4 linked regions of the Saccharomyces cerevisiae S288C genome follow. The gene in region 4 interacts genetically with the main gene of each other region. Each region holds a gene or a part of one and is shown on either strand. Other genes may lie near its edges.

Region 1 (4,019 bases), 410 kb from region 4:
CTTCTTATTTAAGTACATCTTTAGAAGAAAATTACACAACTGGAATGAGTAAATCAATACTTGCTTTGTGTTCCCATTGTTAGATACTCTTGTTTTAGCATGTGATAGCAGTATATAATATAACCTGCAAAATAATCGAAACGCGTACACAGGAAAGAGTACATAAATAACCATAGTATATTTCTGGACATATCTTATTACACAACATAAAATAGAATGTTTAACATGAATCTACTTTCTACACCTTCTTCTGAAGAGGGTTCTCCACAGAATAGGTCATCTTCAATGTCTTCTGTTGAGGGCAAGAAGGATAGGGACACCTTTACTAATTTGCAAAACGAATTTGATGGTAAAGTATTTGGCGTCTCACTCGAGGAATCACTGAAAGTTGCTCAAGAGGAAGTAATTATCCAAAAAAGTACAAATGAAATTGGTTCCATACCGGTGGTAATAGCAAAAAGTGGGAAATACCTAAAAGAGAATGCATTAGACACAACAGGAATTTTCCGTATTGCGGGAAGCAATAAACGTGTTAGAGAGCTACAAGCTGTTTTCTCTAAACCGCCCGATTATGGTCGTAAATTTGAAGGATGGTGTGATTTCAATGTTCATGACATTGCAACTTTATTAAAAAGATATTTGAACTCATTAAGTGAGCCTTTGGTTCCCCTAGCATTATACGACATTTTTAGAAATCCAATATTAGAAAACCCAAAAATAAATGAGCACAAAGAACAAATCATTAAGGACTACGAAGATATTTATATGCTCTTACCACAACAAAATCGCCATTTAATACTTTATTTAGCCGCGCTCTTGAATTTATTTGCAAGAAATGAAAAGAAGAATTTAATGTCAGCAAGCAATTTAGCGGCCATCGTACAACCCTCACTTTTGTCTCATCCCAAGGATGAAATGTGCCCGAAAGAGTATGAGGCTTCCAGAACTGTCATCGAATTCCTCATACTACACGCTTCAGATATAATACCGAATACGGAAAAAGCGAATAAGGACACCATGCCGCATGCAGGAACAGTAGCAAAGTTTAACAACATTACCGTTCCTGAAATGGCTATTGACTCCGATGAAGAAGATTTTGTGCACCCTTCAATAGATGACCATATGCTTCCAAGGTCACGTGCACTTTCTGACTCCAACAATTTTACCATACATCATCATCATCATCATCATCATGCACTGTTTCCTAGCCCAATAGATTTTGATAACAATGGGCTTTCTGTACCGAGATCCTTTAAAGGTAGAACATTGAGTGCAGAGTCCCTTTCTCCCAGACTTAGTAAATTACTTGGGAACGTTGGAAACAGCAGCAATACTGGCATCAAAGACCCTACAGAAAGAGTTCCTAGAGGTGAACATAAAACCAAACACAAACAACGACAGTCATGGTTGAGAAGACTCACTAGCCCTTCTAGAACGCAGCCTTAGCTTCCTAAGCACTGTGATCTGCTAGTCGATTCCGAGGTTCGGCGAAGAAATTGTCGTTGCCCCGCCAGGGGCCTTTTGCGATACTCGGCGCTTCTTTCAGCAATCTCGGTCCGCATCTCGGCAAGGGGGGGCATGACACGGGCCGCTCTGGTTGGTCAGTTCCTATTTTCTGTAACTTCCATTGTTTGGTTAAAGAATATATAAGTTATTGAAAAGCTCATAGGTCCCTTATTATAGGCCCTAAGGTTTTAGTTTCTCATCATAGTCATATCAGAAAAACCCTCCTTCTAAAGTTTTCCTCTTTTCTTATTTCTTTTTCATTTATTATTCATATTTATATAAATATATATTCCAAGTGCATGACATTATTGGATACACTTTTTCTGAACCTGAATTACCTTGGTAGATAATAAGATACAGATCGGGAACGAACAACAATTATAATATTTTTTAATAATGTTGAGAAATACTTTTTTTAGAAACACCTCGAGGAGGTTTTTGGCTACTGTAAAGCAACCTTCAATCGGAAGATATACCGGCAAACCTAACCCTTCTACCGGCAAATACACGGTCTCGTTCATTGAAGGTGATGGTATCGGACCTGAAATTTCCAAGTCTGTAAAGAAAATCTTTAGTGCAGCAAACGTCCCCATAGAATGGGAATCTTGTGATGTTAGCCCTATCTTTGTCAACGGATTAACGACCATTCCTGACCCTGCCGTACAATCTATCACAAAAAACCTGGTTGCACTAAAAGGTCCACTAGCTACACCTATTGGTAAAGGTCACAGATCTTTGAATTTGACATTGAGAAAAACATTTGGGTTATTTGCCAACGTTCGTCCCGCAAAGTCTATTGAAGGTTTTAAGACCACTTACGAAAACGTTGATTTAGTTCTTATCAGAGAGAATACCGAAGGTGAATATTCTGGTATCGAACACATAGTTTGCCCTGGCGTTGTTCAATCTATTAAACTGATCACAAGAGATGCCTCTGAGCGAGTCATTAGATACGCTTTTGAATATGCAAGAGCCATCGGCAGACCAAGAGTTATTGTGGTACATAAATCTACTATCCAGAGATTAGCTGATGGTTTATTCGTTAATGTTGCCAAAGAACTATCCAAAGAGTATCCTGACCTTACTTTAGAAACTGAACTTATTGATAACAGTGTGTTAAAGGTGGTCACCAACCCATCTGCTTACACAGACGCTGTTTCTGTTTGTCCAAATCTATACGGTGATATCTTGTCCGACTTGAACTCTGGTTTGAGCGCCGGTTCTTTAGGTTTAACTCCATCTGCCAATATTGGTCATAAAATCTCGATCTTTGAAGCTGTCCATGGCTCTGCCCCTGATATTGCCGGTCAAGATAAAGCGAATCCAACTGCCCTACTTTTATCTTCAGTAATGATGTTAAACCACATGGGTCTAACGAATCATGCTGACCAAATTCAAAATGCAGTATTGTCTACTATCGCATCAGGTCCAGAAAACAGAACAGGTGACTTGGCTGGTACTGCTACTACTTCATCATTCACTGAAGCAGTCATCAAGAGATTATAAAAGTCCTATTCTTTTCCCTCTCAGGTTTTTTCACGCCTTGAAAACAAATGACTATCCGTTTAATATAATGATTTCTGAAAGATTATGAAGTAAAAAAAAGCAAAATGCTTAGATATATAATATATACATACAATAAAAATTCCGTATCTACTCCAAACTTCTATGGCTTTGTCCTCAATGTGTTCTGATGTTTATTTAATAGCCTGAAGTTTTTATTAAGTATGTATACTTTTCGATATTTATTCTTTTAATAATGCTACAGGAGACCATAAGTGATAACTCAAAATGTCCCTCAGTGGACTTGTAAACCAAAAAAAAAAAAAAAGAAAAAGAATTAAATATATTATGTGTAAAAAGAAAACACCACCGTGTGTTATGTATATTTTGTTTATGTCTATCTATCATCTATCCTGCTGGCAGTCAATGTTCACCTTACAAAATTAATCATTGAAATTATTGCTTCCCCTTATAGATGTACTGATAATCGTAAACCTCGTCAACAAGATTGCTATTCCTCTTCCACGAAGTTATTTCGTCCAAAATATCATCCAAGTTAAATAATCTAACGGTTGGATATATACCTTGGATTCTCGGCAAGCCTATACCAGCGGACCCACCGTAACATAACCACATCTCATTTTTTGACTGTAAGCAACAGTCATTATTATGTTCATGTCCGCAACTGACACCCTTTATATTCCAAAGACTCAGGATATCAAGGAAGCTTTTGTAATGTTTGCCATTGATCGTCATTGAAACTTGTCCTCTAGACCTTGGCGTATCTACTGTTAAGGTAGACCTCTCATTATACTGCCCAATAATAGGAAATAAACCATGAGGCCTATATTCCGATAATGGAAAATATTGAAATGCCAAGCCAAAGTCTATTTTCCCAATCAGGTCGTTATAATCTTGTAGGAAATTATTGACGGGCGCAAATGAATCAAAGACGAAAAATAAAGCCTCTGATGGGTTTGTTTCGTCTTCGGTATCAATGTCTCTTTCCA
Region 2 (4,363 bases), on a different chromosome or scaffold from region 4:
ACCCTAACAGTTACAAATTGCAACCTGAAAATGCTATTCCAATGGAGCCATGGAATGGTGAAGCTGATGACAAATTAGTAAGATTGATTCCATTTTTGGAGTACCTTGCCACTCAACAAACCAAGGATGTTAGACCAATCTTGAACAGCTTTGAAGACAAGAAGAACCTAGCAGAAGAATTTGATCATCGTGTGAAAAAATTGAAGGATAAATTTTACGGAGATCATAAATCTGGTGGCAACTGGGCAATGACGGCACTAGGTCTCGGAAATTCCCTGGGCGGCAGCACCAAGTTCCCGCTCGATTTGATTCATGAAGAAGGACAAAAGAACTATTTAATGTTCATGAAGATGATTGAGGAAGAAAAGGAAAAAATTAGAATACAGCAGGAGCAAATGGGCGGGCAAACATTTACGCTGAAAGACTATGTTGAAGGTAACTTGCCTTCGCCAGAAGAACAAATGAAAATACAATTGGAGAAGCAGAAGGAGGTAGACGCCTTATTTGAAGAGGAAAAGAAAAAGAAGAAGATTGCTGAATCCAAATAATTTTCATGTAAACCCTCTTCTCATGTATCTACGTATCTATGTGTGTATGTAAATGTACCTGTACACTCCCCACACCCTCATTTTGTTACTGTCATGTGAATAAAACTTATGTATATTGCTAACTTACTACCACTGCACCTCCTAACATCACCATACTACGTACAAACACGCCTATTTATTTTTTCTATGTTAAATTTTAACGATGTAGACACACCTAATGATCTGATGCGCTTTGCATATCTCATATTCCTTCACTAGCATAAAAATCCAAAAAAAAAGAATATTTAGGCCGAATGGAATTATTCGTAACGTCATACGAAAAAAGTTTCAATTCGTACAATGCCTGGCATGTTCATTCGAATATAAGGCCGCCGCCTTCCAGTCAGGGTAGCCAAAAGTATAATCCCGGGTGGAAACTAAACTAAAAACCGTACTCACAACTTTCCGCGGACGCTAACAGACAAATAGACACACTATCAGGTCAGGAACTGCCGTCACATACGACACTGCCCCTCACGTAAGGGCATGATAGAATTGGATTATGTAAAAGGTGAAGATACCATTGTAGAAGCAACCAGCACGTCGCCGTGGCTGATGAGGTCTCCTCTTGCCCGGGCCGCAGAAAAGAGGGGCAGTGGCCTGTTTTTCGACATAAATGAGGGGCATGGCCAGCACCGAGACGTCATTGTTGCATATGGCGTATCCAAGCCGAAACGGCGCTCGCCTCATCCCCACGGGAATAAGGCAGCCGACAAAAGAAAAACGACCGAAAAGGAACCAGAAAGAAAAAAGAGGGTGGGCGCGCCGCGGACGTGTAAAAAGATATGCATCCAGCTTCTATATCGCTTTAACTTTACCGTTTTGGGCATCGGGAACGTATGTAACATTGATCTCCTCTTGGGAACGGTGAGTGCAACGAATGCGATATAGCACCGACCATGTGGGCAAATTCGTAATAAATTCGGGGTGAGGGGGATTCAAGACAAGCAACCTTGTTAGTCAGCTCAAACAGCGATTTAACGGTTGAGTAACACATCAAAACACCGTTCGAGGTCAAGCCTGGCGTGTTTAACAAGTTCTTGATATCATATATAAATGTAATAAGAAGTTTGGTAATATTCAATTCGAAGTGTTCAGTCTTTTACTTCTCTTGTTTTATAGAAGAAAAAACATCAAGAAACATCTTTAACATACACAAACACATACTATCAGAATACAATGACTAAGCTACACTTTGACACTGCTGAACCAGTCAAGATCACACTTCCAAATGGTTTGACATACGAGCAACCAACCGGTCTATTCATTAACAACAAGTTTATGAAAGCTCAAGACGGTAAGACCTATCCCGTCGAAGATCCTTCCACTGAAAACACCGTTTGTGAGGTCTCTTCTGCCACCACTGAAGATGTTGAATATGCTATCGAATGTGCCGACCGTGCTTTCCACGACACTGAATGGGCTACCCAAGACCCAAGAGAAAGAGGCCGTCTACTAAGTAAGTTGGCTGACGAATTGGAAAGCCAAATTGACTTGGTTTCTTCCATTGAAGCTTTGGACAATGGTAAAACTTTGGCCTTAGCCCGTGGGGATGTTACCATTGCAATCAACTGTCTAAGAGATGCTGCTGCCTATGCCGACAAAGTCAACGGTAGAACAATCAACACCGGTGACGGCTACATGAACTTCACCACCTTAGAGCCAATCGGTGTCTGTGGTCAAATTATTCCATGGAACTTTCCAATAATGATGTTGGCTTGGAAGATCGCCCCAGCATTGGCCATGGGTAACGTCTGTATCTTGAAACCCGCTGCTGTCACACCTTTAAATGCCCTATACTTTGCTTCTTTATGTAAGAAGGTTGGTATTCCAGCTGGTGTCGTCAACATCGTTCCAGGTCCTGGTAGAACTGTTGGTGCTGCTTTGACCAACGACCCAAGAATCAGAAAGCTGGCTTTTACCGGTTCTACAGAAGTCGGTAAGAGTGTTGCTGTCGACTCTTCTGAATCTAACTTGAAGAAAATCACTTTGGAACTAGGTGGTAAGTCCGCCCATTTGGTCTTTGACGATGCTAACATTAAGAAGACTTTACCAAATCTAGTAAACGGTATTTTCAAGAACGCTGGTCAAATTTGTTCCTCTGGTTCTAGAATTTACGTTCAAGAAGGTATTTACGACGAACTATTGGCTGCTTTCAAGGCTTACTTGGAAACCGAAATCAAAGTTGGTAATCCATTTGACAAGGCTAACTTCCAAGGTGCTATCACTAACCGTCAACAATTCGACACAATTATGAACTACATCGATATCGGTAAGAAAGAAGGCGCCAAGATCTTAACTGGTGGCGAAAAAGTTGGTGACAAGGGTTACTTCATCAGACCAACCGTTTTCTACGATGTTAATGAAGACATGAGAATTGTTAAGGAAGAAATTTTTGGACCAGTTGTCACTGTCGCAAAGTTCAAGACTTTAGAAGAAGGTGTCGAAATGGCTAACAGCTCTGAATTCGGTCTAGGTTCTGGTATCGAAACAGAATCTTTGAGCACAGGTTTGAAGGTGGCCAAGATGTTGAAGGCCGGTACCGTCTGGATCAACACATACAACGATTTTGACTCCAGAGTTCCATTCGGTGGTGTTAAGCAATCTGGTTACGGTAGAGAAATGGGTGAAGAAGTCTACCATGCATACACTGAAGTAAAAGCTGTCAGAATTAAGTTGTAATGTACCAACCTGCATTTCTTTCCGTCATATACACAAAATACTTTCATATAAACTTACTTGGTCTTACGTCATAAATAAATATGTATACATATAAATTAAAAAATTTGGTTTTATATTTTTACAAAAAGAATCGTTTACTTCATTTCTCCCTTTTAAGCGATACAATCCATGAAAAAAGAGAAAAAGAGAGAACAGGCTTGTGCCTTCTTTAAAACATCCCACACAAAATCATATTGAATTGAATTTTACATCTTAAGCTAGTGTACAACAACTGCTATATCCAAAGAAAACTAACGTGGACCGCTTTTAGAGTTGAGAAAAAGGTTTGAAAAAAATAGCAATACAAAGACTTGTTTCATATATAAAATACAGGGAGCACATTGAGCTAATATAACATAAACACTGCGAACCAATTCCAATCAAAAGGTACACATGAGAGCATTCCCCCGAGTACTGCCATTTCGCCATCAGAGATCATATAATAACATCCTTCTTCGAACAGTAAGGCTTTTTGGTTCATCACTTTCTTCTTTTGATTTCTCTAGGCAAATGCCTAAGGTGGACCCTGACAATACCGCTGCAATGCTACTACAGAAAAACTTGATCCAAAGAAACAACATGCTCTATGGGTATGGATCAGGGACAATACGATGTACTTTGCTAGACTCAACTGGACGAGCCAAATCACCATTAGTAGAGATAAAACGTGAGGATCTAGTATCAAAACATGGCTTGTTGCCCAGAGATCTACGTAAAATTGAAAAATCAAGGAAGAATGACTTAGTCCCTAGTTTGCTCGTGCGAGAAAATTCCATACTAATCAGTTTACTTACTGTGAAAGCCCTAATTAAGCCTGATATGGTTATTATCTTCGATTCAGCCGGCAGTGGAATAACTTTAAACTCAGAAGCTCACAAGGATTTTATTAACGATATGAAATTGAGACTAAAAAATCAAGAAACAAGCGAGCTAAATAGCGATCCACTTCCTTATGAATTCAGAGCTTTAGAAACGATCTTCATTTCGGCATTATCTAACCTTACCAGTGAAATGAAGGTGTTGCTAACCATATGCAAGGGGGTGCTTCAAGATCT
Region 3 (4,119 bases), on a different chromosome or scaffold from region 4:
TCGAACTTTTTATGCTACGGAAATCCATTGATCTTAAGTGAGTTTTCTGGCTCTAGTAACGTATTGAAAGATGCCATTGTGGTTAACCCATGGGATTCGGTGGCCGTGGCTAAATCTATTAACATGGCTTTGAAATTGGACAAGGAAGAAAAGTCCAATTTAGAATCAAAATTATGGAAAGAAGTTCCTACAATTCAAGATTGGACTAATAAGTTTTTGAGTTCATTAAAGGAACAGGCGTCATCTAATGATGATATGGAAAGGAAAATGACTCCAGCACTTAATAGACCTGTTCTTTTAGAAAATTACAAGCAGGCTAAGCGTAGATTGTTCCTTTTTGATTACGATGGTACTTTGACCCCAATTGTCAAAGACCCAGCTGCAGCTATTCCATCGGCAAGACTTTATACAATTCTACAAAAATTATGTGCTGATCCTCATAATCAAATCTGGATTATTTCTGGTCGTGACCAGAAGTTTTTGAACAAGTGGTTAGGCGGTAAACTTCCTCAACTGGGTCTAAGTGCGGAGCATGGATGTTTCATGAAAGATGTTTCTTGCCAAGATTGGGTCAATTTGACCGAAAAAGTTGATATGTCTTGGCAAGTACGCGTCAATGAAGTGATGGAAGAATTTACCACAAGGACCCCAGGTTCATTCATCGAAAGAAAGAAAGTCGCTCTAACTTGGCATTATAGACGTACCGTTCCAGAATTGGGTGAATTCCACGCCAAAGAACTGAAAGAAAAATTGTTATCATTTACTGATGACTTTGATTTAGAGGTCATGGATGGTAAAGCAAACATTGAAGTTCGTCCAAGATTCGTCAACAAAGGTGAAATAGTCAAGAGACTAGTCTGGCATCAACATGGCAAACCACAGGACATGTTGAAGGGAATCAGTGAAAAACTACCTAAGGATGAAATGCCTGATTTTGTATTATGTTTGGGTGATGACTTCACTGACGAAGACATGTTTAGACAGTTGAATACCATTGAAACTTGTTGGAAAGAAAAATATCCTGACCAAAAAAATCAATGGGGCAACTACGGATTCTATCCTGTCACTGTGGGATCTGCATCCAAGAAAACTGTCGCAAAGGCTCATTTAACCGATCCTCAGCAAGTCCTGGAGACTTTAGGTTTACTTGTTGGTGATGTCTCTCTCTTCCAAAGTGCTGGTACGGTCGACCTGGATTCCAGAGGTCATGTCAAGAATAGTGAGAGCAGTTTGAAATCAAAGCTAGCATCTAAAGCTTATGTTATGAAAAGATCGGCTTCTTACACCGGCGCAAAGGTTTGAAACACCCTTTTTAACGAAATGGTTATGACTAGACAGACATCTTACGTCTTACTCCTTCATGCTTTATTTTTTTCTTTGTATTGTATTTGAACAGTCAATATGTGGTGTTGCGACGAAGGCATATATATAATAGTCTCAACCCACCATTTTCGAAGATTTACATACACATTATATTTTTATAAACTTCCAATATGTAATAACTTTATATGATATGTAACTTCTCACTATTATCCTTACTATTAAACGGTTTTTAATAAATATCATTGTTCTTTGTTTTATTAATGAGAAAAAGAAATTTAATACAATGTCCGGCGGGAAGAAAAAAAATCGATGAATTAATTGAAAAAAAGTATCTTTATCATGTGAACTGAGGAGAAGAACGGCATCTCGAAAAGAGCACGTCGAAACAGCGGTAGGTAAAAGAGGGTACTACCAGAGGTCTTTTCTCTTTATACGTTAACCTCTCAGCTTTTTCTTTTGCAATTCAGGACACTTTAACTTGTAGTCACACGCTAGTCCACGTAGCAAAGTAAAACAGCACGAAAAAAGTGATTACAAATTTCAAGGGAGATATGATGGACTTAGATAAGATTATAGCATCACTGAGAGACGGAAAACATATTCCTGAAGAAACCGTTTTTAGGCTATGTTTAAATTCACAGGAACTATTAATGAATGAAGGCAATGTAACACAAGTCGATACACCGGTTACAATATGCGGTGATATACATGGCCAATTACACGATCTACTAACGCTCTTCGAAAAGAGTGGTGGTGTAGAGAAAACAAGGTATATTTTCTTGGGCGATTTTGTGGATAGGGGATTTTACTCATTGGAGAGTTTTTTACTTTTACTATGTTACAAATTAAGATATCCTGATAGGATTACTTTAATTAGAGGCAATCACGAAACCCGGCAAATTACTAAAGTATACGGATTTTACGATGAAGTAGTAAGAAAATATGGTAATAGTAACGTATGGAGGTACTGCTGTGAAGTTTTTGATTATTTATCATTGGGGGCAATAATAAACAATAGCATATTCTGTGTTCATGGTGGATTATCTCCGGATATGACCACGGTTGATGAAATACGAACAATAGACAGGAAACAAGAAGTTCCACATGAAGGTGCTATGTGTGACTTATTATGGAGCGACCCCGAAGACGTTGACACATGGTCATTATCACCAAGAGGTGCTGGATTTCTTTTCGGTAAAAGAGAAGTTGATCAATTCTTAGAGAAAAACAACGTTGAGTTAATTGCTAGAGCTCATCAGTTAGTGATGGAAGGTTACAAAGAAATGTTCGACGGTGGATTAGTGACAGTCTGGTCGGCACCGAATTACTGTTATCGTTGTGGTAATGTAGCAGCTGTATTGAAGATAGACGACGATTTGAATCGTGAATATACAATTTTTGAAGCTGTTCAGGCACAAAATGAAGTCGGAAATGCTATAATTCCAACCAAAAAATCTCAAATGGACTATTTCTTATAAATTTTTAACAGGCACTCTAATTGTCAAGTGCATTTTTCTTTTTTTCTTCATAATGCAATAAAGGAAAAAAAATTGTAATATTACATACTTCTTTTCACATCTTAGCTAATTAACAATATGGCTTTTGAATACTAATATATACCCAGCTACCGTTTCTTCTTTTATTTTTTATTCCTTTTTTTCTTCAGTAGAATATGTTATAGATGCGGAGGTCCCCTAAGTTCTTCACGTGTTCTCTTCTCATCGCGTTTGATATGAAAAATAGAAAAAAATACATAGTAGCATGACTAACTAATAATAAGCTCCGCTATCAAAGATGTCAAGTACATTAAGGAAAGCTTTTAGATAAGGAAAAGAACTTATTAATAATATATAATATGAAAATATGTCGCTTGGTATACCACTTTCCCAATTAATAGTAGAAAGTCCAAAGCCATTAAGTAGCGGCATCACAGGATTAGATGAGATATTAAACCTGGGATTCCAGGCAAGGTCGATCTACGAAATATTTGGGCCTCCGGGCATTGGCAAGACTAATTTTGGCATTCAATTGGTGTGTAATTCGTTAGAAGGCATACAACAATCGGAAATAAACGACGATAAAATTCTATGGATAGAAACATTTCAAGAAATGCCCATAAACATACTAAGAGAACGCTTTCAAAAATTTAAAATCGTGGAAGAAAATGTGAAGCGGGTCCGAATAACGAAATTTGGACAGCTATTATATTTCTTCCAGAATTTGTTCAAATTATCTCAAAGTGTGCGATATAAACTAGTTATAATTGATGGATTTTCTCAATTAGTCTGCGATCATCTGTGTACACTAAGTAAAAGAGGCGGCGGAATGATAGATAAAACTATACACGAGTTAAAATGTCGACATTTGATATTAATTTTTACGGTAATGACCAAATACACACATTCCACGGGTTCGACAATAATAGTTTTAAATGACTGTATGAACACCGCCTTCCAATCAAACGAATTCGAATCCTTGGAAGAATACTACGAAATTTTAGACGACGGATCTAACTTCTTTGTCAACTCTAACAACGAAAGGCGTAAGAACAATGTACATATATTGAAAAGCGCGCTCGTTGCCAATATCGCTATGGGAAGCAAGGATTCCACTTGGGAAGTATTTCTAAGAGACAGGATCGGCCTTTTTAGGGATTGGAATGAACAAGTGGACGAAACCGTTTTCGTGAAAAGCAAAAGAGTGAAGGCGTCATCCTCGCAGAGTAACGAGGGATGTACTACCATCAAAGAAATGAGAATAAACAAACGAAACTTTGAAAACTTGAGAATAGCTATT
Region 4 (5,785 bases):
GTAGAGAAGACGCACACGAAGATCCCGTATCTCCAAAGGCTGGTTCCGAAGAAGAGATAAGCCCTAATTCCACCTCTAATGTGGTTGTGTCAAGAGAATGCTTGGATAACTTCATGAAACAACTCCTTAAGTTGGAAGAATCGTTAAATAAGTTGGAATTGGAGCAAAAGGTCACAAATAAAGAACCTAACCACAGAATAAGCGGTACGATTGACATACCAGAAGATAGGTCCGAACTAGTGAACTTTTTCACAGAGTTGAAAACAGTCAAACAACTTGAGGACGTTTTTCAACGTTACCATGACTATGAGAGGTTATCACAAGAATGTGACAGTAAGACGGAAATCGCCTCTGACCATTCGAAAAAGGAAACTAAAATAGAAGTGGAACCCCCAAATGAGCGCTCATTGCAAATCACAATGAACCAAAGGGACAATTCATTGTATTTCCAGTTGTTTAACAACACAAACTCTGTTTTGGCAGGCAACTGCAAACTGAAGTTTACTGACGCTGGCGATAAGCCAACCACGCAAATTATTGACATGGGTCCTCATGAAATAGGAATAAAGGAGTACAAGGAATACCGATACTTTCCATACGCACTTGATTTAGAGGCCGGCTCCACTATCGAGATTGAAAATCAGTATGGAGAAGTGATCTTCTTGGGCAAGTATGGCTCTTCTCCAATGATTAACTTAAGGCCACCTTCAAGATTATCTGCAGAAAGTTTACAGGCATCCCAAGAGCCATTTTACTCCTTTCAAATCGATACGTTACCAGAACTGGATGACTCTAGTATCATCAGTACATCCATTTCACTCTCTTATGACGGTGACGACAATGAAAAAGCCCTGACTTGGGAAGAACTCTAGGTCAAACTCTATTTTTATACAGCAATGAGTACCTTTTCACATACACATAAATATATTAAATATAATAAATACAATAAATATAAAATAACCCTTTTCGAAACTCTTTACTTCCTAAGGCCTCTCATTACTTATCACCTAGCATCATGCTCTTCATACATGCCATCTACTTTCAAACGATATACGGCTAACCAGAAAAGTACGGACAATCAGGGACGAGCAGGGACATGACGCCTTCCGCACAGATCCCAGAGAAAAGCAGGGAAACAAGAAAATAAGAAAACAAGAAAAACAGTAGTTACCCTTGTAAGTGTCATCCACAACAGAACCAATACTCTTACTCTTCCGCTCATTCCCCGCAGAATGATAGAACTATTCTAAATCCCCTTGCCTTGCTTGGCCTTGACTTGGGTTGGGACTTGGACCTCTAGAACCGATGTGCCTTCAAACATCTTAGCGAGATAAGAGTCTGCCATTAATGCATCGAGCCAATATCTTGGACTAGTACGAGGTTCACGTAGCCTTTCTTGCACGGCACCAGCGTCCCACCCCAAGTTCTTTGCTATACTGACCGCCTTACACATTTTAGTGTGATTCCAACCCAAAGTAGCTCCTCAAAAAGGGTCACCCGATCGGTGAATCAATCCGCGGCGCAGAAATGTTCGTAGAGCTCTCGTTTCTTCTAGAACGCTCCCTTGATGAAACGAAAATTTCCATCACAATAAAGCTCGCACGCCTTTTTGAAAACCCCAAGCTTTGCTGTGTCTTCTTGTGAAAAGTTTTGCCCAACGATTATCTATTCTACATATAACCGGGGAGTTAAGCACATCCTATTGCCCTACATTCTCTCCGCTTACTTCATTGTCTAGAGCTCCTGGGAAACAAAAGACCGAAAAAGCGAAAACAAAATCAGAACAAGGCTTAAGTACTTTTTCACCAATTGTAGCAAACATTTAACCACATTTTAGCACACTAGCATATAGCATTGTCCTCTGTTATTCGTTTTGCTTTTCTCCTTTAGTGTTACTTTTCCCCCAACGTTACACCATTTTTTGATATCAACTAAACTGTATACATTATCTTTCTTCAGGGAGAAGCATGTCCCAGCCCACTAAGAATAAGAAGAAAGAACACGGGACCGATTCCAAGTCATCCCGCATGACTCGGACGTTGGTTAATCATATTCTTTTTGAAAGAATTCTCCCGATCCTTCCGGTGGAGTCTAATCTAAGTACCTATTCGGAAGTGGAAGAGTATTCCTCATTCATTTCATGCAGATCTGTGCTCATTAACGTTACCGTTTCCCGAGATGCAAATGCTATGGTGGAAGGCACCTTGGAGTTGATAGAATCGCTTCTTCAAGGGCACGAAATCATTTCAGATAAGGGTAGCAGTGACGTTATTGAATCAATACTGATTATACTAAGATTGTTAAGTGATGCGCTAGAGTATAATTGGCAAAATCAAGAAAGCCTTCATTACAACGACATTTCGACTCACGTAGAACATGACCAAGAACAGAAGTACAGACCAAAGCTTAACAGTATTCTGCCCGACTACTCGTCGACTCATTCCAATGGCAACAAACACTTTTTCCACCAGAGCAAACCTCAGGCACTGATACCGGAACTGGCATCGAAATTGCTTGAGAGTTGCGCGAAGTTGAAGTTCAATACAAGAACTTTGCAAATTTTACAAAATATGATCAGTCATGTTCATGGAAACATTCTAACGACTTTGAGTTCCTCGATTCTTCCCCGCCACAAATCCTATCTGACAAGGCACAACCATCCTTCTCATTGTAAAATGATTGACTCTACTCTAGGCCATATTCTCCGATTTGTAGCGGCTTCCAATCCGTCCGAGTATTTTGAATTTATCAGAAAGAGTGTGCAAGTGCCCGTAACACAGACACACACGCATTCACACTCCCATTCACACTCTTTGCCATCTTCCGTTTATAACAGCATAGTGCCCCACTTTGATCTTTTCAGCTTCATCTATTTAAGCAAGCATAATTTTAAGAAATACTTGGAACTCATCAAAAACTTATCGGTGACGTTAAGGAAAACGATTTATCATTGCCTACTTTTGCATTACAGCGCCAAAGCAATAATGTTTTGGATAATGGCTAGGCCTGCGGAATATTATGAACTCTTCAACTTATTAAAAGATAATAACAATGAACACTCGAAATCCTTAAACACGTTAAACCATACACTTTTCGAGGAGATCCATTCGACTTTTAATGTGAATAGCATGATAACCACCAATCAAAATGCTCATCAAGGCTCATCTTCCCCTTCGTCCTCCTCGCCATCGTCACCACCTAGCTCATCATCATCGGATAACAACAATCAAAACATAATAGCAAAATCCTTAAGTCGTCAGCTTTCTCACCACCAGTCATACATTCAACAGCAGTCTGAAAGAAAACTACATTCTTCATGGACTACAAACTCTCAATCCTCTACTTCACTGTCATCTTCAACGTCTAATTCAACAACAACTGATTTCTCTACTCACACTCAACCAGGAGAATATGACCCTTCCTTACCAGATACTCCCACGATGTCTAACATCACTATTAGTGCATCTTCATTATTATCTCAAACTCCAACTCCAACAACACAATTGCAACAGCGGTTGAACTCAGCAGCTGCAGCCGCCGCCGCAGCTGCTTCACCATCGAATTCCACCCCAACTGGATACACAGCAGAGCAACAAAGTCGCGCTTCATACGATGCACACAAAACTGGCCATACTGGTAAGGATTATGACGAACATTTTTTGTCTGTCACTCGTTTGGATAATGTTTTGGAGTTATACACGCACTTTGATGATACTGAGGTACTACCACACACATCCGTACTGAAGTTTTTAACTACTTTGACAATGTTCGATATTGACCTTTTTAATGAATTAAACGCTACATCATTCAAATATATTCCTGATTGTACTATGCATCGTCCAAAAGAAAGAACAAGTTCTTTCAATAATACTGCACACGAGACAGGTTCCGAAAAGACTTCGGGTATAAAACATATTACACAAGGCTTAAAGAAATTAACTTCTTTACCTTCCTCAACCAAAAAAACTGTAAAATTTGTGAAGATGTTGCTAAGAAATTTAAATGGGAATCAAGCTGTATCAGATGTTGCCCTCTTAGATACAATGAGGGCCTTACTATCATTCTTTACAATGACTTCTGCGGTCTTTCTCGTGGATAGAAACTTACCCTCAGTACTTTTTGCCAAGAGACTCATCCCCATAATGGGGACAAATTTAAGCGTCGGTCAAGACTGGAATTCAAAAATAAATAACAGTTTGATGGTTTGTTTGAAAAAAAACTCCACCACGTTTGTTCAATTACAATTAATATTCTTCTCTTCAGCTATTCAATTCGATCATGAATTATTACTGGCACGTCTGAGCATCGATACAATGGCCAACAATTTAAACATGCAGAAGCTATGCCTTTATACTGAAGGATTCAGGATATTCTTCGACATACCAAGTAAGAAGGAATTGCGGAAGGCAATTGCGGTTAAAATTTCTAAATTTTTCAAAACATTATTCTCCATTATAGCAGATATTCTTTTACAAGAATTTCCGTATTTTGATGAGCAAATCACCGACATAGTTGCTTCCATTCTTGACGGTACAATTATCAATGAGTATGGTACGAAGAAACATTTCAAGGGGAGCTCACCCTCTTTATGTTCGACAACCCGGTCAAGATCAGGATCTACATCTCAAAGTTCAATGACACCAGTTTCTCCGCTGGGACTGGATACTGATATATGTCCAATGAACACCCTGTCTTTAGTTGGTTCAAGTACTTCAAGAAATTCTGACAACGTTAATTCATTAAACAGTTCACCAAAGAACTTGTCTTCTGATCCATACTTGTCACATCTTGTGGCCCCAAGAGCGCGTCATGCTTTAGGTGGGCCATCTAGTATTATAAGGAATAAAATACCGACTACATTGACTTCACCTCCAGGAACGGAAAAATCTTCACCAGTACAACGTCCGCAAACGGAAAGCATCAGTGCCACACCAATGGCCATAACAAATTCTACTCCATTATCGTCGGCAGCATTCGGAATTCGATCGCCTTTGCAGAAAATAAGAACGAGGCGTTATTCCGATGAAAGTTTAGGAAAATTCATGAAATCAACAAATAATTACATTCAAGAACATTTGATACCAAAAGATTTGAATGAAGCAACTCTTCAAGATGCTAGAAGAATAATGATTAATATTTTCAGTATTTTTAAGAGACCGAATAGTTACTTCATCATTCCTCACAATATAAACTCGAATTTACAATGGGTTTCGCAGGATTTTAGAAATATTATGAAACCGATTTTCGTCGCCATCGTAAGTCCGGATGTAGATTTACAGAATACTGCTCAATCATTCATGGATACCTTATTATCGAATGTTATTACTTATGGTGAATCAGATGAGAATATCAGTATTGAAGGGTATCATCTTCTTTGCAGTTACACTGTAACATTATTTGCAATGGGCCTTTTCGATTTGAAAATTAATAATGAAAAGCGTCAAATTCTCTTGGATATAACTGTCAAGTTTATGAAGGTTAGATCACATTTAGCAGGGATCGCGGAGGCCTCACACCACATGGAATACATAAGTGATTCTGAAAAACTCACCTTTCCGCTGATTATGGGGACTGTTGGTAGGGCCCTATTTGTTTCATTATACTCTAGTCAACAAAAAATTGAAAAGACTTTAAAGATTGCTTACACAGAGTATCTTTCTGCAATCAATTTTCATGAGAGGAATATTGATGATGCTGATAAAACTTGGGTTCATAATATTGAGTTTGTAGAAGCGATGTGTCATGACAACTACACAACTTCTGGTTCAATTGCTTTCCAAAGGAG

Evidence for each region.
Region 1: mutations in IRA2 (region 4) and IDH2 together harm fitness more than expected from each alone (negative genetic interaction), as found in Saccharomyces cerevisiae (3 studies listed by BioGRID).
Region 2: mutations in IRA2 (region 4) and ALD6 together harm fitness more than expected from each alone (negative genetic interaction), as found in Saccharomyces cerevisiae (3 studies listed by BioGRID).
Region 3: mutations in IRA2 (region 4) and PPH3 together harm fitness more than expected from each alone (negative genetic interaction), as found in Saccharomyces cerevisiae (4 studies listed by BioGRID).

The regions. Positions count from the first base shown.
Region 1 is NC_001147.6:578,348-582,366, forward strand, and holds IDH2 (isocitrate dehydrogenase (NAD(+)) IDH2), read left to right. Parts: upstream 1-1,902; coding exon 1,903-3,012; downstream 3,013-4,019. Other genes in the region: GTPase-activating protein BAG7, read left to right, coding at 217-1,446; SIA1 (Sia1p), read right to left, coding at 3,466-4,019. UniProt on the Saccharomyces cerevisiae protein: Performs an essential role in the oxidative function of the citric acid cycle. Also binds RNA; specifically to the 5'-untranslated leaders of mitochondrial mRNAs.
Region 2 is NC_001148.4:430,822-435,184, forward strand, and holds ALD6 (aldehyde dehydrogenase (NADP(+)) ALD6), read left to right. Parts: upstream 1-1,766; coding exon 1,767-3,269; downstream 3,270-4,363. Other genes in the region: protein translocase subunit TIM50, read left to right, coding at 1-548; YPL062W (uncharacterized protein), read left to right, coding at 1,074-1,478; MFM1 (Mfm1p), read left to right, coding at 3,702-4,363.
Region 3 is NC_001136.10:595,282-599,400, forward strand, and holds PPH3 (phosphoprotein phosphatase PP4 catalytic subunit PPH3), read left to right. Parts: upstream 1-1,874; coding exon 1,875-2,801; downstream 2,802-4,119. Other genes in the region: trehalose-phosphatase TPS2, read left to right, coding at 1-1,302; putative DNA-dependent ATPase RAD55, read left to right, coding at 3,187-4,119. UniProt on the Saccharomyces cerevisiae protein: Forms the histone H2A phosphatase complex in association with the regulatory subunits PSY2 and PSY4, which dephosphorylates H2AS128ph (gamma-H2A) that has been displaced from sites of DNA lesions in the double-stranded DNA break repair process.
Region 4 is NC_001147.6:169,103-174,887, forward strand, and holds the start of IRA2 (Ras GTPase activating protein IRA2), read left to right. Parts: upstream 1-1,967; coding exon 1,968-5,785. Other genes in the region: ATG19 (Atg19p), read left to right, coding at 1-872. UniProt on the Saccharomyces cerevisiae protein: Inhibitory regulator of the Ras-cyclic AMP pathway. Stimulates the GTPase activity of Ras proteins.